Linked DNA regions of Struthio camelus. The protein of the gene in region 4 purifies or fractionates together with the protein of the main gene of each other region. This does not show direct contact. Links are inferred from orthologs where the notes say so. Each region holds a gene or a part of one and is shown on either strand. Other genes may lie near its edges. The genes, in order: EEF1A1, CCNT1, SNRPB2 and SNW1.

Region 1 (7,128 bases), on a different chromosome or scaffold from region 4:
CCCAGCCATAAATTATCTGCTGGTTTTGATGACATAAGACTAGACTAAGAATTTGTCGAGTGGCACGATCCGATTTTGAGCTCAGCACCCACAAACTGAACTTAAACTACCGAAACATATGCATGTTTTACTATTACATGAACTAATAAGATTACTGAGGATCAATTAAGTTCTTAATACAAACGTCAAACCTACGTTAGAGCTAGGCTCCAACATGTTGTCTCCGTTCCAACCAGAAATTGGCACAAAAGCTACAGTGTCTGGGTTGTAGCCAATTTTCTTGATGTAAGTGCTGACTTCTTTAACAATTTCTTCGTATCTCTTCTGGCTGTAAGGTGGCTCGGTGGAATCCATCTTGTTAACACCAACAATCAGCTGTTTCACACCCAGTGTGTAGGCCAGAAGGGCATGCTCACGGGTCTGCCCGTTCTTGGAAATACCAGCCTCGAACTCACCAACACCAGCAGCGACAATCAGGACAGCACAATCAGCCTTTGAAAAGAAAGAAAGAAAGAAAGAAAAAAATAGTAACATCAACTATGAAGTTTACATACGTGTCTGTGTGTTAAGATACACACAAACAAAAAAAACACCCCACTCCCAAGCTCCTAAAATCCTTAGTTCTATTTACATACCTGAGAAGTTCCAGTAATCATGTTCTTAATGAAGTCTCTGTGTCCAGGAGCGTCAATGATGGTGACGTAGTACTTGCTTGTTTCAAATTTCCACAGGGAAATATCAATAGTAATACCACGTTCACGTTCAGCTTTCAGCTTGTCCAAGACCCAGGCGTATTTGAAGGAACCTTTGCCCATCTATCGATTAAGAAAAAAATTCAGTGTTTTTGAAATACGTACTTAATTTTGTTCAGAAAAATCACGAACTGAGAGACACTACCTAAAGGGCAAAAATCTAAAAATAAGAGTAGCTTATACTGGTAAGTGTTGTTGCTTACAAAACTCTGGCCTAGATTCATCTGGCACTACTAGTGACAGATGCCAACTCGTTTTGTTATTTAACCTGCTGACACTTTTAGTACTCTTGACAGCTTGTTAACTGTACTAACACATTACAAGTTAAACCTTGTAAAGCTAAGCTCTCCTATCAAGTGTCCTTCAGAAATTTTTCTTTTCTTAGTAATGCAATCCCCGCCACAATCAAACATCTAAACTGCTTCTCACACTAGCTTTAGTATGTTTCACGTGTAAAATGTTTGCTAAGACCTGATCTCCAATATTACATAGAAAAAGGATGAATAATTTGTTTAAGATTAGCATTCTACAAGCTCCAGTGCTGAAGTGCAGGCACTCCTGGATTTTCCGGTATAAGAGCAATCATAACAACTGCTTTAATTTTATCCTCAACTAAACGCACACAAAGACTTAAGACGGGAACTGCACGTTAGCTCCAATCCCAGACTATCGTTACCGTCGTTATGTAGATGCTACTTGTTCTTCTGTTCTGCTCGTTTCAGCATCAATAATTTGAGCGGGGGCCAACTAACAGAATGCGCAGATTCAAGAGATACAAACACTACTGCTTTTTCAACTATGGGCACAATTTCAAACCAGCGGCCCGCAAAACAGTACATTCGCAATTTATCAGCTTAGTTTTGCGACTGAACTTCTCTTTGTTCACCCACGCTCCCTTTACGTGCTGCTGGATGTTGAAGGCCCACAAACCTCAGCAGCTTCCTTCTCGAACTTCTCAATGGTCCTCTTGTCAATGCCACCACACTTGTAGATGAGGTGGCCAGTTGTGGTGGACTTGCCAGAATCGACGTGGCCAATGACGACTATGTTGATGTGGGTCTTCTCCTTTCCCATTTTGGATGTTTAGTTAAGCTCTTTCTTTCGGCAAAAGAGAATCGACACCTAAAAGCCAAAAAGCAAGCAAACAAACAAAGAAGTAAAAACGAAGTCACGACCACAGGTTTCCCCACCGCAGCCCCGTTCGGTGACACCCAGGGGAGCAGTCGAAAGGGGGCACCAGACCGTGATGGCGGCTCCGCGCGCGCACGCGCGGCGTCCTCGCGGCCGCGGCTCCGCCCCGCCGGGAGAGGGGAGGAGCCGGCGGGCGGGAGCAGGCCGGGGGCCCCTCGGCGGAGGCCAGCTCGTCGCCCCCCTCCCCTCCTCTCCCCGCACCGCGGCCGGGGCTCGAGTTACCCCCCGGCGGCCGGGGAGCAGGGCGGCGGCGGCGGCGCGGGCGGCTGACGGGCAGCGGCGGAGGGCGGGGCCCGGCCCGCTCCTTTGTGTGTGACTCACCCCGCCCGGGCCGCCGCGTCCTCCATTTTGTGAAGTTCGCAGCCGGCAGGAAAAGCGAGCGGCCATTTTTTTTTTCCTCCGCGCACCCCGTCCTCCCCTCCCCCCACCGCCGCCCAGCCCGGGGCACCACCCGGCCGCCCGCGCTCCCGGGCCCGGCTCCCCCACGCCGCCTCCCCTGCCCGCGACCACCCCCTCGCAGCCAGCGGCCGCCACGGCCCTCGGGGCAGCGGCGGGCGCCTCGCGCCTCCGAGAGCGCGTGCGCGCGCCCGGCCACGCCGCTCCGCAGGCCCCAGCGGCGACGAGGAGGCGACGCGCCACCGCTTCCCCAGCGCCGCCCGCCCCTCACCCCGCGGATCCCCCTTCCCCGGCGGCCCCCCGCGCGCGCGACGGCTCGCTCGCTCGCCCGCCGCGTGGGGCCCCGCCGGCCCCTCCCCCTCCCCCCGGCCTGCCCCGCGCGGGCGCGCCTCACCTGCCAGGCGGCGACGGCGGCGGCGGCAAACCCGGAGCGAAAAAGACCGACGGCGTGAGCGGCTCCCCTTATATAGGCTGGGCGGGGGGGGCGGCGCCTAAGCGACACGTCACCACTCCCAGCGTTCCAGCGGCTCCGCCCCGGCAGCGCCGGCCCCGAGAGGCAGCGCGGGCAAAGGGCGCGGCCGCCGAGGCGGGCAGCGGCGCGCAGCCGCCGGGGGCTTCCCCGCCGCGGACTGCGGCCTCGGCGCGAAGGGCGCCTCGCGGCCCTCCCCGCCGCGGAGGGAGGGAGGGAGGGAGGGAGGGAGGGAGGGAGGGAGGCTGGGCTCGTCGCGCCCCGCCCCGCCCGCCGCCCGGCGGCGCCCGCGAGCCCCTGCCGCCGGCTCAGGCGGTTGGCGAGCCGCAGCCCTGACCGAGCGAGTGGGGGCGGCCGGGTCGAGGGCGTCGGAAGAACGGGCATCGGCCAAGAGCTCCAGCAGCCCTTGGCGTGCGTGGGTGTGAGTCACGAGTTGCACCAACATCATGAAAGAATAGAACAGGCAGGCGCAGGTCAGGGTGGGACAGAAAGGTGAGGGAGGCACAGGGATGACTGCTTGACTACGCCATTGCTGTTGGAGAACTACAAGGAGCTTAAGAGCTGGCTGGTCTTCATCATCCCTGGCCCTCAACATACACGGTGGGGGGGAAGGGACAAGCTTAAAACTTCTTTCTTTTCTCCAAGATGACCGCAGCAGCAGCAAGGGGAGCGGAGAGATACAGCAGGGTTTGGTTGAGCCAGATTTCTCCTCTGGACCCTCCCACACATGGAGAAGATGGGGAAGAAAAAGTTGTACAGATTGGATCAGTACCAGGTCCAGCACAGGGACATCTAGCAGCTAAACCAAGCCCTGGAGAATGGCCCCAGGCACCCTCATTATGTTTCTTATTAGAGACACAAAGGAACTCAATCAATGAGATCAGAACTGTCGTTCAGTCTGAGTGGCACTCGTTCAGTCTGAGTGGCACTCGCTAGCCTAAAGTTGCCAGTTGCTTGAGATACTGGAAAGGAAGAACCCCTCCAGCTCATTATATCCCAAGTGCCCCAGGAACGGAGGTGGGGAGAGAGAGCGAGCGAGCAGGAGTCCAGGGAACCCCGTTACACTAGAACAGGAAACCACGTAGTCTGGCTTTTTAAAAAGATTTTTCTTTTTTTCTGGCACCATTGCGAGAAAAAAAGTTAAAAGGTTTTTTTCGCACAAAATACCAGTCAAGATGGACATGCTTTAAGACAGGCTGCATCTGAAATGGAAAGGCTTCAGGTGTGACCAAAGAGAATCACTTACACATTTAAGAAATACGACTTCTGTGTGCAAAAAACCCCAAATTGCATGAAGTGCCCTCGTGCTATTTTTTGAGAGGTCAACATTTATGAACAAGAGAACTACTGGATGGCCTGGCTCCCTCAACAAGTCCTCATGATTCCAACGGATTGAATTGTTTTCTGATTCCTTCACTCCTAAACGAGACAAGAAAACCCATTACATATTCAAATCTCAGATACCTATTAAAGAGAAATTAAAAAGATGAATATTTTCACATGGCCCTTTAAAAAGATGATATCTGCGAAGAAAGAAAGAGTGCATGCTCTATTTCCTTCTCCAGGTACTTTAAACACCTCCATTAGAGGCCATTGCTTAGATATGCCCAACTGCAGTCTTCAGTAGAGCAAAGTCAACAAAACCATTCATTCGCTGCAATGTTCTCCAGATTGGAGTAGTAAAGCGTGGAAATAGTTTCTTTAAAAAAACCCAACAAAAACAAACAAATTCACCCTACTTCATGGGTTGATGTACAAGTGAAATGTTTCCATAAATATCTGGTATTTTTCCACATCCACAATTAACAAAAATTAGGCTGTAAAAATAATTTGAAAATGTCATGTATTAAACAGGCTGTTGAGTTTAGAAAACACCTTTTACACACACACACACACACACACACACAGCCTCAGTTTCACTGAGTAAAAGCCTGCAAAAAGATTCAGATATTGTTAAATAAAAATCACACGCTGACAGCTTCAGTTTCACTGAGTAAAAACCTGCAAAAACGTTTAGATATTGTTAAACTCACTATTTTTTAGGAAAGGAATAAAGTTAAAGTTCTTTCTCTCCAATGTTTTTTAGGAGGAAACGGGTAGCAGCTAGACAGAGTTCAACGTTCTGCAGAACTAACATTTAGGTGAACAGAAATGCTGTTAAGAAGCGAAGAAGTTTCATATGAAGACACAGTAATGGGGGGGGGGGAGGGAAATGGATCACTTTTTTGAAACAGAACTTTCTATTTTTCAAAATTAAAAATATCCATGACCATAAAGTAATTTAAAGGCTCAGGTTGATGACAAAAGGGTAATTAACATTTGGTAAGGAAGATAAGCAGCGCTTTTTGGGTCTCCTGTAACGCGAAGACAGCTTGTAAACGCAAGCTAAAAGGAGTACTATTCAGGATGCTTCAAAGTTAGCTTCTAAAATGGGTATTTCAGTAGAAAGTATTTTTAGTGGACTGATCTGTCAAAGGATCCATTCTAATAAAAATAGTTTAAAACTTTCAATAGGTATCAGTTCCTTGTGCTTCAACAAAGGGAGGAGAAAGGAAATATTTTACTGATTTCTTACGTGGCCCATAATAAACTGGACTTTTTTAAATTTTAAAATAACTTATTTTAGAAGTCTTTTTTTAAAATGAAGCCGTTTGGAACTACGTATTTCTTAAGACAGGAATTTCTGTGGTATGTATGTGGCTGAAAGTCTACTGAATTTGTTGTACAACCTTTTAATCATGGTCCTGATTCAAGTCCACAACAGTTTTTTCCTCCATTTATTTAACTGAACTTTGCACAAGAATTTTATTATTTCCTCCTTAATCGGTCCAATGCACGCTTTTATTCTCTCAACAACTGGCATGTCTTTCATTGTCCATTCTATTCGCGGAACATTCCTATTATCAATCTTGCAAATATTTATACAGCTGGGCAGCTTTCAGATATATGAGTAGTCTCACATAATTCAGTGGAAATACATTCTGAAGAATCCTCTCAAACAACTAACACAGATAGGCATTTACTGGATTAAATCCTGGATGCAAATAGCCTGTTACATATTTCTGATTCTGTTCATTAGACAAAACTATTCTCTTTGATACGAAAGGCTTATGAAGAAACGAAGAGATTTCAAGAAGTCAAGATCTTTCAGGCTTTGGAGCAGTCCTTGTAAAGTCTAGCCCGACCATTGCTGGAAGGGCTTTGTGGGGGGAAAAAAATTATTCATTCTCCCGTGATCATGGTTGAGCATATGCTACACTGAAATAACTCATCCTCATATATGCCTGCAGTGTTAAGAATACACAGAAGTGTTCTCCAAAGCTTTAACATTGTAGAAACCTATGGAGTAGCCACCTTTGCAGAAAGTCCTGACTCTTAGGTCAAATAGTACTGAAACGAAAGTTACGCTGTCCACATATCTAGGCCAAATATTCTAACCAGCGTAAAAATAAATGTTTACTAGATTTGGAGATCAAACTAGCTACTACAGTCTTATTTTCAATTTAATACATAGCTATAGAGAGTATACTATAAATGTAAAATAAGGTCAGTGAAATCACGCTAGAAAATAAAAGATGTTCTCATTGAGCGCCTCGATAATTTTAATGTTCGCTTCCACATGCATGTGGAAGTGGCATCTTTTTGATCAGACCCTTGCAAAGGTGCAGGTAGCACTTACATAACTATTCTAATTGCAATGAGCATGGTCATTCATAAGTGAGAGTAAACACAGGCTTTATAAACACAGTTTAAGGTGTTGGGTTTATCAGATCTGTATTTATCAGAGCTCACGATATATGGAAGAGACGCTAAGATTTCCTGAGGGCACTTTCAGAAAGACTGGTGGAAAAATACCAAATTAAAAATACTAATTGGTGATTAGGAAAAAAGAAAAAAGATGGTGCACTACATTATTCTGCAATACAGAATAATTTACAGAATAATTTAACCTCATAATTTACAGAATAATTTAACCTCATACTTACTATGACGTACTTCCTAGTTCCTGCTGTATGTAACTATGTTGGTCCAAACGTTCAACATACATTATAGGATGAGCACACAGCTTTACTTCCATCTATAAATGCACTTCAATGCCTTGGTTCCTGCTAGAAGTAGAAAGCATCTATATCTGTTAAGAAATCCTTTTCCCTACATCATCCTAATACTTATTAGCAGATTTAACAGTCATCTCAGTGTTTATTAGAACAATTAATAGACTAATGGTGTTATTTACACACCAAGAGATTAGACAGAGAATATGCTTCAAAACTTGAACTGAGCATGGTTAGGTAACTGAAACTTCTTGAAGAAGCTAGC
Region 2 (7,578 bases), on a different chromosome or scaffold from region 4:
CCGGAGCCACGTCGCCGCGCTGGCCGACTACGCCATGCACCTCATGGAGCAGATGAAGTACATCAACGAGCACTCCTTCAACAACTTCCAGATGAAGATCGGTGAGCGAGAGCCCGCGGCCCTCGCACGCCCCTTCCCCCTCGCACGCGCTGGCCCTCGCACGCCTCTTTGCACGTGCGCGCCCTTCGTGCATCCTGGCCCTTGCACACCCCTTCCCCTCTTGCCCGCAGGGCCCTTCCGCCCTGCTTTGCGCGTGCTGGCCTTTGCACGCCCCTTCCCCTGCGCAAACCCTGCCCTTGCACGCCCCTTTGCACACCCCGGCCCTTGCACACCCCTTCCCTTCAGCACACGCAGCCCTTGCACGGGCCAGTTCTTGCAAGCCCCTTCCCCTGTGCCCGCTCAGCCCTTGCACACCCTGTCCCACTTGCAAGTGCAGCCTTTGCTTGCACTTTTGCACGCCCTGGCCCTTGCACGCGCCTTCCCCTGTGCACACGCAGCTCTCGCACGCCGCTTTGCACACCCCGGCCCTGGCACGCCCCTTCCCCTGTGCACACGCAGCTCTCGCACGCCGCTTTGCACACCCCGGCCCTGGCACGCCCCTTCCCCTGTGCACACGCAGCTCTCGCACGCCGCTTTGCACACCCCGGCCCTGGCACGCCCCTTCCCCTGTGCACACGCAGCTCTCGCACGCCGCTTTGCACACCCCGGCCCTGGCACGCCCCTTCCCCTGTGCACACGCAGCTCTCGCACGCCGCTTTGCACACCCCGGCCCTGGCACGCCCCTTCCCCTGTGCACACGCAGCTCTCGCACGCCGCTTTGCACACCCCGGCCCTGGCACGCCCCTTCCCCTGTGCACACGCAGCTCTCGCACGCCGCTTTGCACACCCCGGCCCTGGCACGCTCCTTCCCCTGTGCACACGCAGCTCTCGCACGCCGCTTTGCACACCCCGGCCCTGGCACGCCCCTTCCCCTGTGCACACGCAGCTCTCGCACGCCGCTTTGCACACCCCGGCCCTGGCACGCCCCTTCCCCTGTGCACACGCAGCTCTCGCACGCCGCTTTGCACACCCCGGCCCTGGCACGCCCCTTCCCCTGTGCACACGCAGCTCTCGCACGCCGCTTTGCACACCCCGGCCCTGGCACGCCCCTTCCCCTGTGCACACGCAGCTCTCGCACGCCGCTTTGCACACCCCGGCCCTGGCACGCCCCTTCCCCTGTGCACACGCAGCTCTCGCACGCCGCTTTGCACACCCCGGCCCTGGCACGCCCCTTCCCCTGTGCACACGCAGCTCTTGCACACCGCTTTGCACACCCCGGCCCTTGCACGCCCCTTCCCCTGTGCACACGCAGCTCTTGCATGCTGCTTTGCACACCCCGGCCCTTGCACGCTCCTTCCCCTGTGCACACGCAGCTCTTGCACGCCGCTTTGCACACCCCGGCCCTTGCACGCCCCTTCCCCTGCGCAAACCTTGCCCTTGCACACCGCCTCGTGCACGCTGCCTCTTGCACCTTCCTCCCCTGCGCCCGGGCCGCTTTGCCGGCGGGTGGTGTGCGGAGGGGGTGGCGCGACGCCGTGCCCCTCTCCCCCCCACCCCAAACAACCCCCCCCCCCCCCAGGCCTGAACATGGGGCCGGTGGTGGCGGGGGTGATCGGCGCCCGCAAGCCGCAGTACGACATCTGGGGCAACACGGTGAACGTCTCCAGCCGCATGGACAGCACGGGGGTGCCCGACCGCATCCAGGTGAGCGCGTCCCCCCCCCCCTCACCTTGGCTCTTCCCCACCCCTCCCCCCAAAATCCCCCCCCCACTGACCCCCCCACCACCACCCAGGTCACCGCCGACCTCTACCAGGTGCTGGCGGCCAAGGGCTACGCGCTGGAGTGCCGCGGCGTGGTCAAGGTCAAGGGCAAGGGCGAGATGACCACTTACTTCCTCAACGCCGGCCCTGGCCACAGCTAGCGGGGAGGGGGGGGGATTGGGGGGGGGGGTCCGGTTCCCCCCCCCCCCGCCACCACCGCATCCTCGCGGGGCCCAAAAAAAGGGAGAAACGGACCCGAGGGGAGGTGCCGGGACGGGGCCGCGGCGCCCCGGAGCCGTGTCGGGGCGGGGGGGGGGAAGGATGGCAGCTCCCCCCCTCCCCCCCCCCCCGCCTTTTAAATGCAAAAAAATTAACGAAGTGACTTTTTTGTTTTTAGCGGATTGGGGGCGGCGCGGCGCCGCGGGGAGGTGGCGCTCACGGTACTTTTCCTGCGTGTGTACAGATAAATTATATATAAACCTCACTTTCGATAAGAGCTGCGGCGTGGCCTGGCCTGGCGGGGGGGGGGGCTGGGGTCACGGGGTCATGGGGAAGGGGTCACAGGGCTGGGTCAGGGGTCAGCAGTGCTGGGGTCATAGGGCACAGGTGGGGTCAGGGATGGGGTCACAGTGGGGTCAGGGGTCAGAGGGAGGGCTGGGGTCGCAGGTCAGGGGTCAGGGGAGGGCTGGGGTCGCAGGTCAGGGGTCGGGGAGGGCTGGGGTCGCAGGTCAGGGGTCAGAGGGAGGGCTGGGGTCGCAGGTCAGGGGTCGGGGAGGGCTGGGGTCGCAGGTCAGGGGTCAGAGGGAGGGCTGGGGTCGCAGGTCACTGGGGGGGTCAGGGGAGGGCTGGGGTCGCAGGTCAGGGGTCAGGGGGAGGGCTGGGGTCGCAGGTCACTGGGGGGGTCAGAGGGAGGGCTGGGGTCGCAGGTCACTGGGGGGGTCAGGGGTCAGAGGGAGGGCTGGGGTCACAGGTCACTGGGGGGGTCAGAGGGAGGGCTGGGGTCACAGGTCAGGGGTCAGGGGGAGGGCTGGGGTCGCAGGTCACTGGGGGGGTCAGAGGGAGGGCTGGGGTCACGGGTCAGGGGTCAGGGGGAGGGCTGGGGTCGCAGGTCACTGGGGGGGTCAGGGGTCAGGGGGAGGGCTGGGGTCGCAGGTCAGGGGTCGGGGGAGGGCTGGGGTCGCAGGTCACTGGGGGGGTCAGGGGAGGGCTGGGGTCACAGGTCAGGGGTCAGGGGGAGGGCTGGGGTCGCAGGTCACTGGGGGGGTCAGAGGGAGGGCTGGGGTCACAGGTCAGGGGTCAGGGGGAGGGCTGGGGTCGCAGGTCACTGGGGGGTCAGGGGTCAGGGGGAGGGCTGGGGTCGCAGGTCAGGGGTCGGGGGAGGGCTGGGGTCGCAGGTCACTGGGGGGGTCAGGGGAGGGCTGGGGTCACAGGTCAGGGGTCAGGGAGGGCTGGGGTCGCAGGTCACTGGGGGGGTCAGAGGGAGGGCTGGGGTCACAGGTCAGGGGTCAGGGAGGGCTGGGGTCGCAGGTCAGGGGTCAGGGGGAGGGCTGGGGTCGCAGGTCAGGGGTCGGGGGAGGGCTGGGGTCGCAGGTCACTGGGGGGGTCAGGGGAGGGCTGGGGTCACAGGTCAGGGGTCAGGGAGGGCTGGGGTCGCAGGTCAGGGGTCAGGGGGAGGGCTGGGGTCGCAGGTCACTGGGGGGGTCAGGGGTCAGGGGGAGGGCTGGGGTCGCAGGTCACTGGGGGGGTCAGGGGAGGGCTGGGGTCGCAGGTCAGGGGTCAGGGGGAGGGCTGGGGTCGCAGGTCACTGGGGGGTCAGGGGTCAGGGGGAGGGCTGGGGTCATAGGTCACTGGGGGGTCAGGGGAGGGCTGGGGTCGCAGGTCAGGGGTCAGGGAGGGCTGGGGTCGCAGGTCAGGGGTCAGGGGGAGGGCTGGGGTCACAGGTCAGGGGTCAGGGAGGGCTGGGGTCGCAGGTCAGGGGTCAGGGGGAGGGCTGGGGTCGCAGGTCAGGGGTCGGGGGAGGGCTGGGGTCGCAGGTCACTGGGGGGGGTCAGGGGAGGGCTGGGGTCACAGGTCAGGGGTCAGGGAGGGCTGGGGTCGCAGGTCAGGGGTCAGGGGGAGGGCTGGGGTCGCAGGTCACTGGGGGGGTCAGGGGTCAGGGGGAGGGCTGGGGTCGCAGGTCACTGGGGGGGTCAGGGGAGGGCTGGGGTCGCAGGTCAGGGGTCAGGGGGAGGGCTGGGGTCGCAGGTCACTGGGGGGTCAGGGGTCAGGGGAGGGCTGGGGTCGCAGGTCACTGGGGGGGTCAGGGGAGGGCTGGGGTCGCAGGTCACTGGGGGGTCAGGGGTCAGGGGGAGGGCTGGGGTCATAGGTCACTGGGGGGTCAGGGGAGGGCTGGGGTCGCAGGTCAGGGGTCAGGGAGGGCTGGGGTCGCAGGTCACTGGGGGGTCAGGGGTCAGGGGAGGGCTGGGGTCATAGGTCACTGGGGGGGTCAGGGGAGGGCTGGGGTCGCAGGTCAGGGGTCAGCAGGGTCAAAGGCCGAGCGCGCCTCCCCCACCTCCCCCCACTTCCGGGTTGGGAGGGGGGGGAGGAGAGCGAGCGAGCGAGCGAGACGCCGCGTCGCGCATGCGCGGCGGGGGCAGCGGGGCGGGGCGCGCGCGCGCGCGCGCGGCCCCGCCGCGTGACGCAGGCGCGCGCGTTACGTCGCGTCTGCGTCTGCGTCGCGTTGCGTCGCGTTGCGTGCGTGCGCGCGCGCGGGCGCGGATCGCCATGGAGGCCTCGGCGGGCGGCGGCGGCGGGGCCGGCAGCGCGGCGGCGGCGGCGGCGGGGCGGCGCTGGTACTTCAGCCGCGAGCAGCTGGACCGCAGCCCCTCGCGCCGCGCCGGCCTCGACCCGGACAAGGAGCTCTCGTACCGCCAGCAGGCCGCCAACCTCCTGCAGGACATGGGCCAGCGCCTCAACGTGTATCCGGCCCGCGCTAGGCCGCGCAGCCTGCGCTCGAGTGCCGGGGCGGGGAGGGAGGGAGGGAGGGGGAAGGGGAGGATGAAGGAGCTGCCCGGTGAGGGGGGGGCGTTTCCTTAACCGTGCCGCCAGCTCGCAGCTCACCATCAACACGGCCATCGTGTACATGCACCGCTTCTACATGGTGCAGTCCTTCACCCAGTTCCACCGGAATGTAAGTGCGCCGCTGCCCCCAGTCCCGGGCCGGGGGTGGGGGGGTGCTGAGGGAGGCAGGGTGCTGCCCCGCTGCTGGTAGCTGTCACAGACCCCCTTGTGTCCCCCCCTCCCCCCCAAGTTACCTAGACACGCTTTGTTTCCCAAAAGAATATTTATCGTATCGTTAAAAAAACTAGCCTACTTTATTTGCTTTAGTCTTGAGCTTATTATCTTTAAAAAATTAAAAAAATATATTTTTCTTCTCTGAAGTCGGTGGCACCGGCGGCTCTGTTCTTGGCAGCCAAGGTGGAGGAGCAGCCTCGTAAACTGGAGCACGTAATCAAGGTAGCACATGCCTGTCTGCACCCCCTGGAAACTCTTCCAGACACAAGGAGCGAGGTAAGTGTGGAGATGGGAGGACCGCGCTGTGAAGTGAGGAGCAGAGATGCGAAGAATGGGAATGGTGGGAGTGTGCTGCATCCTGAACCGTGCAGTTCTGCTGATATAACTAGATCACGTGGCTACAGCGTCTCGTTAAATCAGGCTCATAAGCATCCACTCTCTAAATGAGTGGTTGTGTCGTAGGATGGTTAGTTACAGCTCAATTCAACTGCTCTCTTACTACAGAGAGGTTTTTGGCTTCTGTACAGCAGAAGGTTTTTCTTTCCTGCTCTGTGGCAACCTCTCTTCTGTTTTCCTCTGCTGTGCTGCTGCGAATGTGACTCAGATGTGCTGTGTAACAGTGTCTGCATTAAAAAGCTTCTGAGGAGAGCGTGGATGTTGGCTGCTGGGATTAAATAGCGTCTGTGGCAGAGCAGCAAATGATGTGCGCAGTTTGATTCTGTTCTGTTCCCGCTTGTTTAATTGTGGGTTTATTAGAAACGTTGCCAATTCCCTATCTCTCAAGACAGCCCGTCTTACCTGGAACTGAGCAGCCAACCCTGCTGAAAAGGGGAAGCTTTATCCAGGAGCCAAAGCTTAAGGAGAAAGCTAAACGCCATCCTGTACTGCTCATAGAGCCATCCCGTGCCATGTAACCCCTCTTGAGGGACCAGGACTAAGAGGGCCAATGCGGATCCTGAAGCAACAATCCTGTAGAGCAAGAACTAGCAGGGGAGTGGGTCCACCCAGCGCTCTGCTTTCTCTCTTCTGGCAGGGAATCTGTGCCAGTTTCCCCAGTCCAGATTGGGGCATAAAGATTCCCCTTTGCTATTTTTTTGCCTCCCTGAGAAAGGGTGTTAGAAATGTGCAGGCTTTATACGGAGTGCCTCATCGTGAGTAACTTGCCTGTCCTCTCAACCCCAGGCTTACCTGCAACAAGCCCAAGACCTGGTCATTCTAGAGAGCATAATACTGCAGACCCTGGGTAAGTTTTTCAAAGCGGACGGGCTGCCACACGAATCCCAGACCCAGGAGTGTTCAGCAGGGCGGAGAGTCTTAACTGCACAGTCTTCTCCACAGCTGGAGGGCAGATGCACAGCTGGCCAGTGGGAAAGCAAGAGTCCAGGCAACAAACTCTTTTTCACACCCACACCTTGTGTTTTCCTTTTAATAACAACATTTTCAGGTTTAACTTGTGTCAAGTTCAGTGTTCACAAAAAAAAACATGTGAAAGTGTGGCTCGTCTCTTCCCACCCCCCCCTTCACCCCCCTTCCCCAACAGGTTTGTACTGCTCGGACATTGGTCGCTGTCCTCTGTTATGCTGTTAAACTTGATAATGCTCTAGTCCAGTGGCCAGGAATGGAAGCTGTTTGCACTGGGAGATGTCTAACAAAACCTGAGTTGAAAGTTAATATTTTGATCAGGTCGCTGTTTTGTTTTGTTTTGTTTTTAGCGTTCAGCTGAACTATCCCAGCCACAGTTTTCTTTCTGTTTGGTTTTTGAAAATAGAACCTGGAGCCCACAGTAAGGGGTGTGATTGTCTGTCAGATCGAGGATCTTATTCGTGATCCGAGTTTTGGATCTACTGTGTTTGGTTCTCCAGTTGCCTTTTTTTTTTTTTAAACTTCACAGTTCATCTAGAATATTCTGCACAGAAAAAGCCAAATCTGTTACCCACATGGACAGATTTGAATTGAAATTTTTTTCTTTAAACCATAATGTACAAACTAAATAGGAAACTGAAGCAAGGATTAAGTTCAGTTGACTTTAATGCTGTAGTCTCCTTCAAAGGGAAGACGTCTGTTTCCTCTTAGCTTTTTGGGTGAGAAAAATTCCTCTGAGCAAATGCCATTGTCTTCTCCTTCCTCCCAGCTGCTGTAAGAGGTTTTGTCCTTCTATTTTTAAAATCCTTAATAGTTGTTTTGTTTTCAGTGAGGTCTTTCACGCACAGAAGTCATTTAGCTGCTTGGAGGCCTGGCAGCAGCCGTGACCTTCAGGTTTTGTGACTGGAGAACTTGAGTCTTCTGGATAAAGGAAAACGCGCTCCTCTATTCCTGCTCACCTCGGAGCGGAGAGCAGGGGCTATAGGAGGGAAGGGGAGAACCAGGCTTGTCCCCCACGAGCAGGAAACGTGAGGTTCGTAGATCTCTGGGAGCGTGCTGCTAGTTGTCTGATGGCCATATATCTGTGTTCTTCCAGGCTTTGAGATCACTATTGACCACCCGCATACCCACGTGGTGAAGTGC
Region 3 (7,501 bases), on a different chromosome or scaffold from region 4:
GTTTCCTAAATACAAGTTTCCTGTTCACCAATGCACGCAGCATGGGGAATAAGCAGGAAGAATTAGAGTTGTGTGTGTGGTCGCAGGGCCATGATCTCGTTGCAGTTACAGAGACACGGTGGGATAGCTCACATGACTGGAATGCTGTCATGGACAGCTATGTGCTTTTTAGGAAGGACAGGCCAGGAAGGCGAGGTGGTGGAGTTGCTCTTTATGTGAGGGAGCAACCAGAATGTATGGAGCTCTGCCTAGGGGTAGATAAAGAACAGGCTGAGAGCTTATGGGTAAGGATTAAAGGGCAGGCTAACATGGGTGACACGCTGGTGGGGGTTTACTACAGGCTACTTGAACAGGAAGAGGAAGTTAATGAGGCCTTCTACAGACAACTGGAAGTAGCCTCACGATCACAGGCCCTGGTTCTCATGGGAGACTTCAACCACCCCAACATCTGTTGGGAAGACAGCACAGCTCGGCACAAACAGTCAAAGAGGTTCCTGCAGAGGATCAATGATAATTTCTTGACCCAGGTAGTGGAGACGCCAACAAGGACAGGTGCAACGCTAGACCTTGTACTAACAAACAAAGAAGGTCTAGTTGGAGATGTGAAGGTTGGGGGCAGCCTTGGCTGCAGTGACCATGAGATGGTGGAGTTCAGGATCCTACGAGGAGGAAGCAGGGCAATAAGTAGGACTGCAACCCTGGACTTCAGGAGAGCTAACTTTGGCCTCTCCAGGGACCTACTTAGGGGAATCTCATGGGATAGGGCCCTAGGAGGAAGAGGGGTCCAGGAAAGCTGGTTAATATTCAAGTATCACCTCCTCCAGGCTCAAGATCAGTGCATCCCTCTGAGTAAGGAATCCAGCAAAGTGGGCAGAAGACCTGCATGGATGAGCAAGGAACTCCTGACAAAACTCAGACAGAAGAAGGAAGTCTACAGAATGTGGAAAAGGAGACAGGCTACTCGGGAGGATTACAGGGACAATGTCAGAGTATGCAGGGATGCGTCAAGGAAGGCTAAGGCCCATTTGGAATCAAATCTACCAAGGGATGTCAAGGACAACAAGAAGGGCTTCTTCAAATCCATCAGTAGCAAAAGGAAGACCATGGGAAACGTGGGCCCACTACTGAATGTGGTGGGTGCCCTGATGACGAAGAATACAGAGAAGGCAGAGTTGCTGAACACCCTTCTTTGCTTCAGCCTTCACTGCTAAGGCCAGCCCTCAGGAATCCCAGACCTTGGAGACCAGGGAGAGAGTCTGGAGAAAGGAAGACTCTCCCTTGGTCGAGGAGGATCAGGTTAGAGATCACGTAGGCAAACCTGACATCCATAAATCCATGGGCCCTGATGGGATGCACCCACGAGCGCTGAGGGACATCATTGCTAGGCCACTCTCCATCCTCTTTGAAAGGTCCTGGCAATCAGGAGAGGTGCCGGAGGACTGGAGGAAAGCCAGCGTCACTCCAGTCTTCCAAAAGGGCAAGAAACAGGACCCAGGGAACTACAGGCCTGTCAGCCTCACCTCCGTCCCTGGAAAGGTGATGGAACAGCTCATCCTGGAGGCCATCTCTAAGCACGTGGACAAGAAGGTGATCAGGAATAGTCAGCATGGCTTCACCCAAGGGAAATCTTGCTTCTGTGATGGGATGACTGGCCGGGTAGATGAGAGGATAGCAGTGGATGTTGTCTACCTGGACTTCAGCAAGGCTTTTGACACTGTCTCCCATCACATCTTCATAGATGTAAGCTATGAGGTAAGCTCAGGAAGCACAGGCTAGATGAGTGGATGGTGAGGTGAATTGAGAACTGGCTGGATGGCAGAGCTCAGAGGGTTGTGGTCAGTGGCGCAGAGTCAAGTTGGAGGCCTATAGCTAGTGGTGTTCCCCAGGGGCTTATACTGGGTCCAGTCTTGTTCAATGTATTCATCCATGACCTGGATGAAGGCACAGAGTGCACCCTCAGCAAGTTTGCTGAAGATACTAAACTGGGAGGAGTCACTGACACACCAGAAGGCTGTGCTGCCATTCAGAGGGACCTGGACAGGCTGGAGAGGTGGGCGGAGAGGAACCTCCTGAAGTTCAACAAAGGCAAGTGCAAGGTCCTGCCCCTAGGCAGGAAGAACCCCATGCACCAGTACAGGCTGGGGGGTTGACCTGCTGGAAAGCAGCGCTCTGGAGAAGGACCTGGGAGTGCTGGTGAACAACAAGTTAAGCATGAGCCAGCAGTGTGGCCTTGTGGCCAAGAAGGCCAATGGGATCCTGGGGTGCATTAAGAAGAGTGTTGCCAGCAGGTCGAGGGAGGGGATCCTGCCCCTCTGCTCAGCCCTGGGGAGGCCTCACCTGGAGTACTGTGTCCAGTTCTGGGCTCCCCAGTACAAGAGAGACATGGCACTCCTGGAGAGAGTCCAGCGGAGGGCTACCAAGATGATGAGGGGACTGCAGCATCTCTCCTGTGAAGAAAGGCTGAGAGAGCTGGGCCTGTTTAGCCTGGAGAAGAGAAGACTGAGAGGTGATCTGATCAATGTGTACAAGTTTCTGAAGGGGGAGCGTCAAAAGGATGAGGCCAGCCTCTTCTCCGTGGTGCTCAGCAACAGGACAAGAGGCAATGGGCAGAAACAACCACAGGAAGTTCCATCTGAACCTGAGGAGAAACTTCTTGACTGTGAGGGTGACAGAGCATTGGAACAGGTTGCCCAGAGAGGTAGTGGAGTCTCCATCCTTGGAGATATTCAAAACCCGCCTGGACACGATCCTGAGAAATATGCTCTAGAGGACCTTGCTTGAGCAGGGGGGTTGGACTAGATGATCTCCAGAGGTCCCTTCCAACCTCCACCATTCTGTGATTCTGTGTGATTCTGTGATAACATATTTTCCTTTTACTGGGGAAAACTCCAGAACGTGGAAGTCATTTTTTTTTCTTAAAATGTGACTGAACTGACAACCCTTCCTAATATTCCTGTCTCACTACAAAGGGATAAGTTTCACTGTGGACCTGTCCAAATCAGTTTAAACAAGAACCATCTTAAGGATTATATTTTCCCCCAAGAGCTTCTTTTTCACATGCGACCAGGTTAAATCTTCACAACATAAAATTGCTTCTGAAAAAGTCTGTAAGATCATTCATAAAAGTAAAGGCATTCTGCCTGCAAAATTATTCCAAAAATTCAAAGGTTGCAACCTCAGAATCTCTGCTCTGTTTATTTATCCTGAGGTACTGTTACTGCAGGGATTGTAAAAGTATCTTCAAGAAATTAGATACATTGCCTTTTCAATCTCCAAACTGAAAACAAATGTCAGTTAATGAATATTTGTCTGCAGGTGTTTTCAAATTTCTGCTTTTCTTTACTCTCCATGAGTTCATATGTTGACAAAAGAAGCAAAAATCATAGTTAAGTTTGCTCAGTACTCTACTTGAACGCATCAGAGCTAAGAATTGGGGAAACAAATAGTGAAATACATGTACTAAACCCCTAATTTAATCAGTTTTAAGAGTCGCTGTGATTTCAGTGAAGCCAAACCTACTACTCCCTCTTTCACCCTGGGACTGATTCAAAGCAAGAAGATGGAGTTCACAGAGGTGTTTCTGTGGGCTTCAGTGGACCTCACACCAGGCAGGTTCTCTCTTAGGTGCGTGCCTGGCTGGATGCCCCGGAGCAGCGTGGCTCCTCAGCTCTGCGCAGTCGCTCTGCAGGCAAGGCCAAGCCGGGGCTCCCTGTGCAAGGGCAGGCTGTGCGGGCGCAACCGCAGCAGCCAGAGCCAGGCCGTCACCCGCGCCAGCTACCTTCTCGGGGCTCGCTGAGGGGGGAAGCAGGGCCGCTGCTGAGTGTGCTTTGCCGACTTGCAGTTTGCCTTATCCTGCTGTTTCACCTGCACTATAGGAACCGGTTCTAGAGATTTCCATCCCACCTCCCCAAATATGAAAAGAAGATAGAAAAAAATCTGTAAAATATTCTCTCTTCTCCATCTGAGGTATACAAATTATCTTACTAAGGTTAACTGTGACTTGGATGCAGCACACATAAAGAGCAGGGAAGAGAGTTTGGATTATTTTCACACAAGCTTTTAATTGTGTTGTAATGAGGAAGACAGAGGGGCTGCAGTAAGACACGAAGAACTAACTGCGAGTGACGGTTTTCAGAAAGAAATTTGAGTTCTAAACTAATAATGTGGTGTCATTGACTCACAAGAAAAAATGCATTACGGCTTTTATACCAATTTCTATTGTATGTAGTTTGATAACTGGCAATAACGCTTTTGTTTAATAATTGCTAAATGATATGTAAAAAATAATTGCACTGTGCATACATTTTTTATTATCTCTACCGAGAAGGTGGAAACAGCCACAGAACAAACGATTCACACGCAGTCAGCTAATCTTTGTTATTTAAACCAAGCTATTTGTCTAACGGTTTTACGATGCATTTTCCCTTTTATCTCATTGCCTTTGGAAAACTAGCACAGCAACAACGATGGAAACGTTTGAGGAACCAGATAAGCATAGTATGAGAAAAACAAACACTATTTTCTCCTCCGGGAACCACTGGAGCGACAGGCATTACTCTCCTCCCTTCGCTTTGCAGGGATGTAGGGTGCTTTCTTTCTTAAATACTGCCTACAGGCCACGTCCTCATCAAGGAGCCTGACGACTGAATTTTGCAGTGCTGCCAGGCTCTTGTTCGAGCGCGATGGAAAGCACTGCTGCTCAGGTCGGCTTCAGGGTCAACACAGCTCCGAGCAACGAGCTCAGCTCTGAGCTGAGAGGGGGAAAAAAACCCTCTCTCAGCTAGACTCCCAGGTACTTCGTGCCAGGAGGGCCTGTTTCCACACAGAGCGCAGGCGGCGCGAACAAGGAGGCGGCACTTGGAGCCACACAGGACGGCAACGCGCCCAACCGCCGCCCAACCTGCCACTGCGCACGCGTCAGCCGCGGGCGGGGCGACATCGACCCGCCGGCGCTCGGCACATCGATTGCGGCGGGATCGGCTCGTCAGCTTGCGCTGCGTGAAGAGGCGGCCGGCGCAGCGCGGTGCGGCCTCCATCTCGGCGGGGAGAGGTGAGCCAGGGCGGCGGCGGCGGCCTGCCTGGCCCCGGGGTCCCGGCCCCGCTCCCGGGAGAGGCATTGGGGTCCCCGTCGTGTTCTGGGCCGCTCCGGGGGGCCCGGCCGTGGGGCCGCGGCCGCTGGCGCGCGGGGGGCGGGGGGGGTAACGTGCTCGGGCCGGGGCGTCGCGGCGCTGCGGTAGGTGCGGGAGCGCTGTTAAACGGCCGGGGAGAGGGGCGGGCGGTGGGGCCCGGCGCGCTGCCGCTGCGCTTTCCGCGCTAGTTAACCAGCTCCTGGGTTGTGGGGCGTCCGCGGGGCTGGCGGCGCCTCCTTTGCCGGGGCGAGCCTTCATCCGTTATAACGTTGCGATGCGTGTGCTCTGTTTGCAGGCAGGTGTGTAAGCGAGTTGGAGGATGGATATCCGGCCAAACCATACGATTTACATCAACAATATAAATGACAAGATTAAAAAAGAAGGTATGAATGTCTGTGACTCTTATGTTTAGTAGAAAGCCGTCGCATATAAAATTCTCATATATAAAAGGTCAAGCTTATACTGGCCTGCAGTTTTTACTGCTCTGGAGCCTAAGCTCAAAAGCTTATGTTTTGGTAGCATCTCACCCTCAAAGATCCTCTAAGCTGTCTAGTAATGTACTGCAAGTGGTGATCATGAACCAAGTTCTCAGCTGTCAAATCTTTTTCATGAAGAAGTAGGTAAAGTTAGCCAGCCTTGGACCATGCGCAAGTTTTTCCACAAGCTGGAGTTCTTATTTATTTTTAAGGAAGCTTCTGATTGCTTGTATACTGTAGTTGTACAGCTAATCTTACAGATTAAGCTTGTTTATCCTTAAATAAGTGTAATCATAGTAGTCATCTAATATTCTGATAGGTTACTCCTAACAGGCATGTTTGTGTATGTTCAGGTGGTCCCATTCACTGAAAGTGGAAATATCTGTATGCTTGTTTTTCAATTTAATGCCTTAGAAAATCACTGAAAGTGGCATAAGCTAACTTGTTTCCCTTCATTGTACTGGAGACTTGATGTATGTATGCGGTTACTGAGGTCCTCTTTAGAGAGTGATAATTTCTTGTTGAGGGTTTTTAGCTCCTCACGATGTGCTAATAAGATCACTTGTTCTTATCTGGTTGTGTACTCAATGTCTGTGTGGGACCATCTGGCTCTCCTTTTCAATGTTTATGCATAATTCTTAATCTAAAAGGGATAAAGATAATTTAATACTGTTTGTGAACAGTGGGTTGCTGGATCAGACACTAGCCTTGCTTAAACATTTCTTTTGGGTATTTCAGAGAGTGATCTGAAAGTAGGAATAACTTTGCCAGTACACTATCGATTTGTCAAGATTGTTCCACTCAGTAAATTAAACTTAGTGGTTCTCTTATAGCATGTTATGTACTATGAACTAATAAGTGCCTGGTTATTTTTAAAATGTAGAATTGCAAGTTGCCAATAATATCAGGCTTACAAACCAGATTTCTAGTACGTCTTTTGAAGTTATTTTTCTTAATGTTTGATATGAAAACTTTTATTTTTCCCTTATTCACATCTGAAGCTTCTTCTGCATTCATTGCTTTGTAAGGCAACTTCCTTCACAAGTTCCCTTGATTGGTTTCCTGTTGATTCTGATCTTATACAGAGCTGTAGCTGATCAAGAACAGTTGGGAAAAGTGACAGTGGGCTGGTACTAATGAGTCTTAACAGCAATAAACAAAAGTCAGCAGAAATACTTCAAATAAAAGAATTGAATAACATAAGAAATATTAAGTTTGAATGCACTACAGAGGATTTGGGATTTATTTATGTTAACTGGATAAGATTAAGGTTTAACTTGATGTGGAGTCAGATGATTTTTTTTATCATGAAAATAAATCTGTAGCAACTGTAAGGGATAGTGTGATTATGTGAAAACATATTCCAATCTAGAATATGAAAAAAATATTTCAATATGCTTGAAAGAATGAAATTTTGTTTGCAACAGTCTGATTTCAAACTTTAACTTGCCTTATGTTTATTTTGATTAATTACTAATTTACAGTATTTTCTTTACGTCGTACTACTTTACTGCCATGTGTTATGGCATTGTATACTACTCAGTATTTGATGGCTGTAATGCATAATACTTCATGTGTACATTAATCCTTGCATAATTTATACTCCCTTAGAATGGTAAAATGGATGGAGGTACGACTTTTTTGCTAGTTGAATACTTGTAAGTTGGCATATAACACTTGGTTTTGCATTATGAAAACTGAGCAAATGAACTTGGGCTCATGCAACAACTTTGGCTAAACTAATGTAACAGATTACTACTTCAGCTAAAAGTAGCAAAAAGTACTGTCCCTAGAGAACAACAAACTTCATAAAACTGAGCATTTGCATATAACCTATGATAATAAATGTGTTTTTCCATACCCTCAACAGAGCTGAAGAGGTCCTTGTATGCATTA
Region 4 (7,310 bases):
AATATACACAAAAGTAAGTGTTTTCAAAGCCAATTGTGGTATTTCAAAGCCAATTGTGGTATTCGCATCAAATTAAGATGTCCCTGCTGGCAGCCACGCCAATATACCTTAGAGCCTCAGCTCCTTACTCACCATATGGAGGACCATTGTGGTGTACTTCTGAAAAGTGATGTATGTGGAGACCTTATAGCTTGCTGTCTAGTAATGTTAAGCAAAAAAGATCATGGTAAAAACAAAAAGGAACTCATCCTTCTTTCTTAGAGACTGGTTTATAGTTGGGGGAAACAGATCTAAGGATTTCAGAACCATTCCTTGCATAAATGTTTCTTGTTATGAGACCTCTGCTAGAGCTGCCATCTTTGAACAGTTACCAGGTCTGGTTCAAAAAAACTCCAGAACTAGGAGATCTGTGAAGACGTTCCTGAAACATGACGTTTCAACTGATTATTTCTATATTGGCTCTGAGAGTTCAGGCTGGCCTAAAGAAGACCTTGTAATGATGAAAATGTCTGTTCCCTAAAGACTTTCAGCTTTAACTAGAAGATAACACTAGACAGCACTAGAAGTGAGTACTTTCCATGCCGTTCCAAAGGTTAATCATTCTCATTGTTAAATATTTCTGCCTAATTTCTCATTTGAATTTCTGCAATTCCAGCCTCCAGTTACTGGTTCTTGTTATGCCTTTCTCTAACAGATTAGAGTACTTTCAGATCTTGTAGTTTTAACTTGTAAAAGTACATATGCATGATGATCAATCTCTTCTCAGTCTTTTTGTAATAAGCAAAACATACTAAAAGTTGTAATTTGCTTACTCAGAATCAATTCCCTTCTTAATGTAATTGACAATAAACACAGATAGATGGAGCTCACCCTCTCCTAATTTGGCGGTACAGCATTTACCTCTTAAGAGCTAACCACAAAACAAGTGCACTTATTGTATTTGCCCTACACTTCTAATTTATGCTAGCCTTAAGTTATCCCTGTAGTTTCCAACCCTCCTCAATTTTCAAGCACTATTTTAAAAATGTGGTCACCAGGACAATATATAGTGGCCCTAGAATTTGCTCTGCCCCTACTTAAACATCCCTGGGGCGCACTGGACTTTTTGTTACTTCATTGCACAACAAATTCATGTTGAGCTGCTTCTCTGACATGACCATTCTAGATCCTTTTCAGAAGCTCTCTTTTCCAGGATAGTACAGTCTGTACTTAACCCCTCATTTCTTACTTCCAGATAAAGAAGTTTGCACCATGCGATATTAAAACACATTTTGTCTGAATGGATCACATCTACCATGTAATCTAGTATGACTCTCCTCTCAGCGTTACTGAACATTTTGCCACTCTGTGAGAGAGCTAAAGACTTTTTGAAGTGATTTCGTATTGACTGCCAGATCGCTGATGAAAATGTTGACTCGTGTAAGTCCTAGTATCCCATCCTCAGAAATACCGTTATTCAGTGTTGATCCCCCACTGATGATCTTTTGCTTTTTGAAATGCCAGCCAGTTCTCCACCCATGTAGCATACATCTTCAAGTGTTGCACAGCGCTAAAAAATGTCGTGGTAGGCAGAAGTAATGGAAGGTGCACCAGATCAGGTCCAAGGACAACTGTACGAATTAATTTTTTTGGTCTTGTGGCTAACCCAATATATGAATTAAATCATTATCCCACTTCAAGAGAAAAATGAAAAAAAAATCCTGTTCTAAATGAAAAGAAGTTTTACTAGACTAGAAATTAAACATTCTGGTTTTAAGAATTTTCCTACTTTAAAAAATACAGTAGGCTAAACTTGGCCAACGTTGTTTTAAACCAGGGTTTAAATGTTTCATTTTGAAAAAGTTGAAAGAAAATATGTTGACTTTTCCAAACTTCCCTCATTTTTGAGTTCTAAACTTCTCAAGAATTTATTTTTGTTTATCCCAGCAAACATTTTTGACAAGTTAAATGTAAGCGTTTTCTAGGTTTGATATTCTGCATGTACCCCAGGACAGGGACAAGTAGTTACCCACAGCTGGATAAGCAGTAGGTGCCTAAAACAGACTGAGATACATTTACAAAGCCATACGGTCTGGAATAAGCTTGTGGAGCCCCTTCACACCATATGGTCCACTCTACCCAGCGTTAAGAGCCTTACATATTCACAAACTCTAAATTAGCCAACTCACACATCAAAAGTAAACCGCAAAATTGAACCGTAAAAATTATTCAACAGAACTGGTCTTACAGCCAGACAGCTATAAACATCTCCAAACACAAACAGCTTATTGTCTGCAAAGAGAGAGAAAAAAAAAAGAATAATTATAAGAACAAGCAAGCAGTGAGCGTGAGGAAACCAATGGAACATCTCTCAAGTGTTGGAGCTGAACCAGATTGCTCAGGTACAATTTTACCTTCTGAACAACAATTTTCTGTAGTGACTGTCATAAAAACTGTGTTGCAAAATAGTTCACAAACTTGTACAACTACCATACAGCATTAAATAAAACGTCACAGCAAAGGAAGGAGGAGAAACATAGCAGTAAGACAGAGAATAGACATTTTTTCAGTTGAGGCTAGTATCACAGTGGGAGATAGAGACAATGGCAACTTCATATGGTGACAGAATGCTCTTTAATCTGGGGGCAATACTGCTGGATGTGACAACAGCAATTCAGTTCCTAAACAAGTGAAGGAAATGGATACAAGAGATGACAGAGGAGCTTTGCTTAGCACAACTATTGATAAACAATATATGTCAAAATCTTGTATCTTTAGCTTTGTTTGATGTACTCAGAAGAGGACAGTTTTCTCCAAGAGAAGGGAAAATATGTCATTCATAGAGCTGATGACACAGCTGCTGTCAGCACAATGCAAACCCGAAGTCAGATTTCCACTGAAGTCAATGAGAATTTTGGCATAGAAGGACTACAACAGAACTGCCCTTACAATCCTCCAAATCTCACTCAGCCTAGAAATTCTAACAGATGAATTTAGTCTACAGGAGTTTTGTCTCTTTTATAGTCTTCCTGCCTCTTACTGCACGGAAAGTTTTTATTTATTTATTTGTAATAGGAATATGTTTGCTTCTTATACATTCTACCCTTTTCTTCTCTAGTCGGCTTGTGTGTCTCTTCTAGATGAACCATGCCAGGCAAAGTGGGCATGATCCTCACCATACTTCACAAGATGGTAACACAATAGTAGCAGTTATTAATCGGCAACTAAATTTATTGTCCTATATGGCACTAAATACTGCCACTTCAGCACTAGCGGCACCTTATCCGTTTAAAGCTCCATCTAGTCTCCAGTTACTACAACTTCCTGGCTAATATTTTTCCCTATTTCACATTTTAACTATATCCTAAAAACTACATCTCTTGAGGTGTTTTAGAAGCTTCATTTAAAAAAACACTATGTAACATTTGAACATACGCCCATTACATGTACACAGCATCTGACATTTAATGCAAAAGCTTTTATTTTAACTCAAGTTATTTATATACCAGTTTTCATCTCTCTCTCTCCTTTTTCTCTCATGTCCTACTCAGTGATGCCTAAGTACCAGATATCAGATCAAGAAATTCTATTGCAATGCCATTTGCACTGTATTTTCTACCTTTTACTAGGATACCTCATCCTTCAGCTGGATGAACCATTAAGTTACTGAAGTTGTTGGAAACTATATTTATAGACAGGATGTCTAAAAAAGGGGCCTTTGTACCAGGCTTCCCTCCTTTTTTTTCTTTGCAATTTCAACGAAGACAACTGTATCAAACCTGCTGAAGCAGCTTTTCTGGGATTGTGCCATTGCTGCTGGGTCCAACTCTTCTGTTTCAGTTTGCAGAGACCAGCAATGCCTTGGGAGGTATCGAAGGGGTAAAGATAGGCACTACGAGAGACACCGTCGACTGAGGCTGGGGGGATTTCATCAGACTGGGGCTGTCAGGTAGCAGATTTGCGCCTGGCATCGCACATCAGGTCCCAGGCCCCAATGTGGCTGCAGTGTTTAGTGACCCACACCAAGCCCAGCAGCGGCCTAGAGACCAGCGTGCACAGATGGAGATGTCCTCCACCATCCTGCACACTACAGGCTGGCCCTGAAAAAGAAAAAGGCCCTTACGGCCGCCCCGTACCTGGGAAAGACCGCTCAACCCGACCGCCGCCATGGCAGCCACACGACCCAACACGCCTCCGCGCCGGCGGCGGACTGCATCTCCCAGCAAGCACTGCGCCATGCGCGCATGCGCCTGGAGGCGGGGGACCCCGCCCCGCCTCCGATTGCGGAGCTCTGAGACTACAACTCCCAGCCGCAACTGGGTCGCGCGGCGCATGCGCAAGCGCGCTCCCCGCCCCCCCACCCCCACCCCCCACAGACGCTGGGCCCCGAGAAGACGACGAAGGCGGCAAGATGGCGCTCACCAGGTGGGTCCGGCGGGTTCGGTTTGCCCGGGTCGGGGGAACTGCTCTCTCTCCTGCCTGCGTACGGCTCCCCGGCCGCTGTGTGGGGCTCCGGCCGCCGCAGAGGGCCGCGCTCAGACCTCGCGCTGCCGGGCCGCGGGCTCCCTAGGCGCTGGGCCCGCCGGCCGACGAGGCCGCGCCGCGGTGGGTCGAGCGTCGCTGCTCCCTGGGGACGGCGAGGGCCAGGCCGGGGGAGGCGCAGGGGCCTGCCCCGTACTGGCGGGAGGGGGCGTTGGGCAGTGCGGGCACCGCCTTCTGGACGAGGGGGCTCCTGCCTCGCGTGCTTCTGCGGGAAGACGGAGCCCCCGGCCTCGGCTGGAGGTGATCGGATCGGTGCGATTTCTGTGGGGGTTTTCTCACCGTTAGTGAGGATGGGAGGGCCTTGTTACGAGCTGCTGCGTTTCTCTGACCGTCTTCAGGAGTGCGACTTCTGTGGGCTCAGGAGCGCCTTCCGTTTAGGAGGTAGATGCTTCCTTGAAGACATGTAAGAGGCCGTCTAGATGAGCTGAAAAGTAGGAAGTCAAGAATTCGGGGCTCAAGTTCTTGACTTTGGCTGGCAGGGGTTTAGTGCCAAGGGGGAGGATTGTCGATAGATCTCTCTGTGGACGTTCGCTTTGAGAGAAGAGAAGGGGGAGTCACTGAGACTAGGGGTGTATTTTCTTTTTTCTGATTGGTAGTAGTGGAAAAAAAAATACATAGTGGTCTGTCACACTCTTGTTAGAGAATGGTCACTGTCATGCTGCTGCTCAGGCAGGATGTGAATATGGGTGAATTTAACATCAGGTTCTATAGAAATCCTTCAGAACGTTGACAGAGCACGAATTGATTTTGCCCCTTTAAACTTGGAAGTTACTGCTCTGTGCTTCATGAGCACCATGCTCAAGTTTCGTGAATCTCTATTGATCAATGGTAGAGAGAAGAAGAATAGTCTAGTTACAGATTCAAGTGTCAGTTGAGTTTTGTTGAGTGAAATTCTCAAAATTAATTGTCTCTCTTTATTTTGGGCTATCTATGGATGTGCAGTTTTTTACCGGCTCCAACCCAGCTGTCTCAGGACCAGCTAGAACTAGAAGAAAGGGCGAGAGCGCAAAGATCGAGGCAAACTGCTCTAGTGTCATCACGAAGAGAACCTCCCCCGTATGGTTACCGGAAAGGATGGATACCACGGATGCTGGAGGTATATGCTTACAATCACACTGTAGTAGTGTGTCTCTGTTCATGAAAAAAAGTGTATTTTTTGGAGTAGAAATAAACTCTGAGCATCTTGAATGTAGCACAAAGAATTGTGTGAAGCCTTACCACATGGAGAACTTCCATCAAAGCTGATGGATATGTTCTTGAGTCAGGGGAAGTTGTTGTAATTAACTGTGTTACTTAAAAAGTTTTATGGTAAGCTGTATATTGTATGGGCTCTTCCCTTTAGAAATTATTATGCAGTAATGTGGAAATGGTTCCATGGCCATGTCGGTTTACAGTCTCTCAATGCAAGGATGCTCCAAGAAAGACATCTGTGTTTTCCCCTCATCGTTATTTGTTAAACACGTGATCTAGGTTATAGCTGGAATAAGGAAACAGATATATATATATATATATACACACACACACATATAAGAGAACAGACTACTTATGGGTATTCTGTTCTTATGGTAACACGAGGTAGCTGCTAGTGTGGAGGGAGAAACTCTTGTTGGAATTGAGAGGAAAACTTTAAAATTTGTCATTGTTAAAGTGTGTTACTGGCAGAAGGGTCTTGGATGGTAATCGTGGATGGTAATTAGCTGTGATCCCGGCCTGTTTTATGTGATTTCAACTGGAAGAGTTGAAAATTTGGATAGAAAATGCAAGTGTATAACTGAATACAAAAATCTTTTGGTGTGATTTGTCATTGCAGATTTGGAAAAAAAAAATTGCAGACAGTACTTGAAATGGTACTTAACACAATGTCTGAGACCTGTTACGATCAGCCATGAGCAAGTGTTCTTGGGACAAGGCATACTGTTCAGGTTTTGGTACAGTGTTTTGTGATCCAACCTTGTTCACAAATGCCATCATTTCATGAGCTAATAACAGCCTTACTTACATAAATACTTTACGTTTGGAACCATCTTTTTAAAGATGGATCCAACACAGTACTTTGGTGATCCATTAGCACTAAAAAAAGGTGACTTCAAATAGTTCCACTGCTCCTTTAAGACAAACTTCTTCTGTAAGCTCTGCATTTAATAATGTTAAGAGCTCTACATTCACTTAAACTTTCTGCCTACGCTACTTCTGATGTTAGCATATTATTCTCCAAGTGTTAGCTAAGAACTTCTTAAAAAACTAGGTCAAGGTTTTTAAACAATTTCCAGCATCACTGGGCCACAAAGTGATACAGATCTCAAAAGGGCTGTTAAGGACTCCCTTGTCCATCTAGATAAATACATATTCTTCAAGGGTAATAAATGTTTCTAAAGCATAACCTTGGTCCCATGATTCTGGGATGGCATCAATGGAAAAATCCATTCTTAGAAGATCTAGAGTACTTTGAAAAGTTCTGAGGAATGACTAACTTTTGTTCCATGTAGTATTTTAACATTGATTCTGTAACGACTTGTTGCATGTGGGACATCCGGTAGAAGACCTTCAGTAATTGGTCCTGTATTTCAGTGAGCACTTTAAGCTACCGTGAGCGTGTGCTGCTGTGGAGGGGTGTTCTGCCCACTTACTCCAGCTTCAGTCCGCTCTCTGTGTTGCACTGGCAAAACTACTTGTCCACATGGTGAATATGATGGAGGATCAACCTACTGAAAATGGAACCAATCTTTTTCATTGATCTGATTCACTGTCAGGCTCTGCAAAAGCTATGCCACTGCAGCCGAAAGAGGAGG

Evidence for each region.
Region 1: the proteins of SNW1 (region 4) and EEF1A1 purify together in Homo sapiens (affinity purification with mass spectrometry; 3 studies listed by BioGRID and IntAct, with this or other methods). This does not show direct contact. The link is inferred for Struthio camelus from reciprocal best matches to the Homo sapiens genes SNW1 and EEF1A1.
Region 2: the proteins of SNW1 (region 4) and CCNT1 purify together in Homo sapiens (affinity purification with western blotting; 3 studies listed by BioGRID and IntAct, with this or other methods). This does not show direct contact. The link is inferred for Struthio camelus from reciprocal best matches to the Homo sapiens genes SNW1 and CCNT1.
Region 3: the proteins of SNW1 (region 4) and SNRPB2 purify together in Homo sapiens (affinity purification with mass spectrometry; 3 studies listed by BioGRID and IntAct, with this or other methods). This does not show direct contact. The link is inferred for Struthio camelus from reciprocal best matches to the Homo sapiens genes SNW1 and SNRPB2.

What each region holds. Positions count from the first base shown.
Region 1 is NC_090944.1:42,400,595-42,407,722, forward strand, and holds the start of EEF1A1 (elongation factor 1-alpha 1), read right to left. Parts: upstream 3,018-7,128; 5' UTR 2,734-3,017; intron 1,875-2,733; 5' UTR 1,827-1,874; coding exon 1,683-1,826; intron 816-1,682; coding exon 636-815; intron 493-635; coding exon 196-492; intron 1-195. UniProt on the Homo sapiens protein: Translation elongation factor that catalyzes the GTP-dependent binding of aminoacyl-tRNA (aa-tRNA) to the A-site of ribosomes during the elongation phase of protein synthesis.
Region 2 is NC_090969.1:1,042,866-1,050,443, forward strand, and holds the start of CCNT1 (cyclin-T1), read left to right. Parts: upstream 1-4,563; coding exon 4,564-4,757; intron 4,758-4,887; coding exon 4,888-4,969; intron 4,970-5,220; coding exon 5,221-5,349; intron 5,350-6,255; coding exon 6,256-6,316; intron 6,317-7,531; coding exon 7,532-7,578. Other genes in the region: ADCY6 (adenylate cyclase type 6), read left to right, coding at 1-101, 1,619-1,743, 1,833-1,961. UniProt on the Homo sapiens protein: Regulatory subunit of the cyclin-dependent kinase pair (CDK9/cyclin-T1) complex, also called positive transcription elongation factor B (P-TEFb), which facilitates the transition from abortive to productive elongation by phosphorylating the CTD (C-terminal domain) of the large subunit of RNA polymerase II (RNA Pol II).
Region 3 is NC_090944.1:134,156,865-134,164,365, reverse strand, and holds the start of SNRPB2 (U2 small nuclear ribonucleoprotein B''), read left to right. Parts: upstream 1-4,486; 5' UTR 4,487-5,050; intron 5,051-5,424; 5' UTR 5,425-5,448; coding exon 5,449-5,512; intron 5,513-7,475; coding exon 7,476-7,501. UniProt on the Homo sapiens protein: Involved in pre-mRNA splicing as component of the spliceosome. Associated with sn-RNP U2, where it contributes to the binding of stem loop IV of U2 snRNA.
Region 4 is NC_090946.1:59,329,832-59,337,141, reverse strand, and holds the start of SNW1 (SNW domain-containing protein 1), read left to right. Parts: upstream 1-4,310; 5' UTR 4,311-4,390; coding exon 4,391-4,404; exon of another isoform or gene 4,405-4,658; intron 4,659-4,800; exon of another isoform or gene 4,801-4,817; intron 4,818-5,463; coding exon 5,464-5,617; intron 5,618-7,310. Other genes in the region: ADCK1 (aarF domain-containing protein kinase 1), read right to left, coding at 4,116-4,148. UniProt on the Homo sapiens protein: Involved in pre-mRNA splicing as component of the spliceosome. As a component of the minor spliceosome, involved in the splicing of U12-type introns in pre-mRNAs.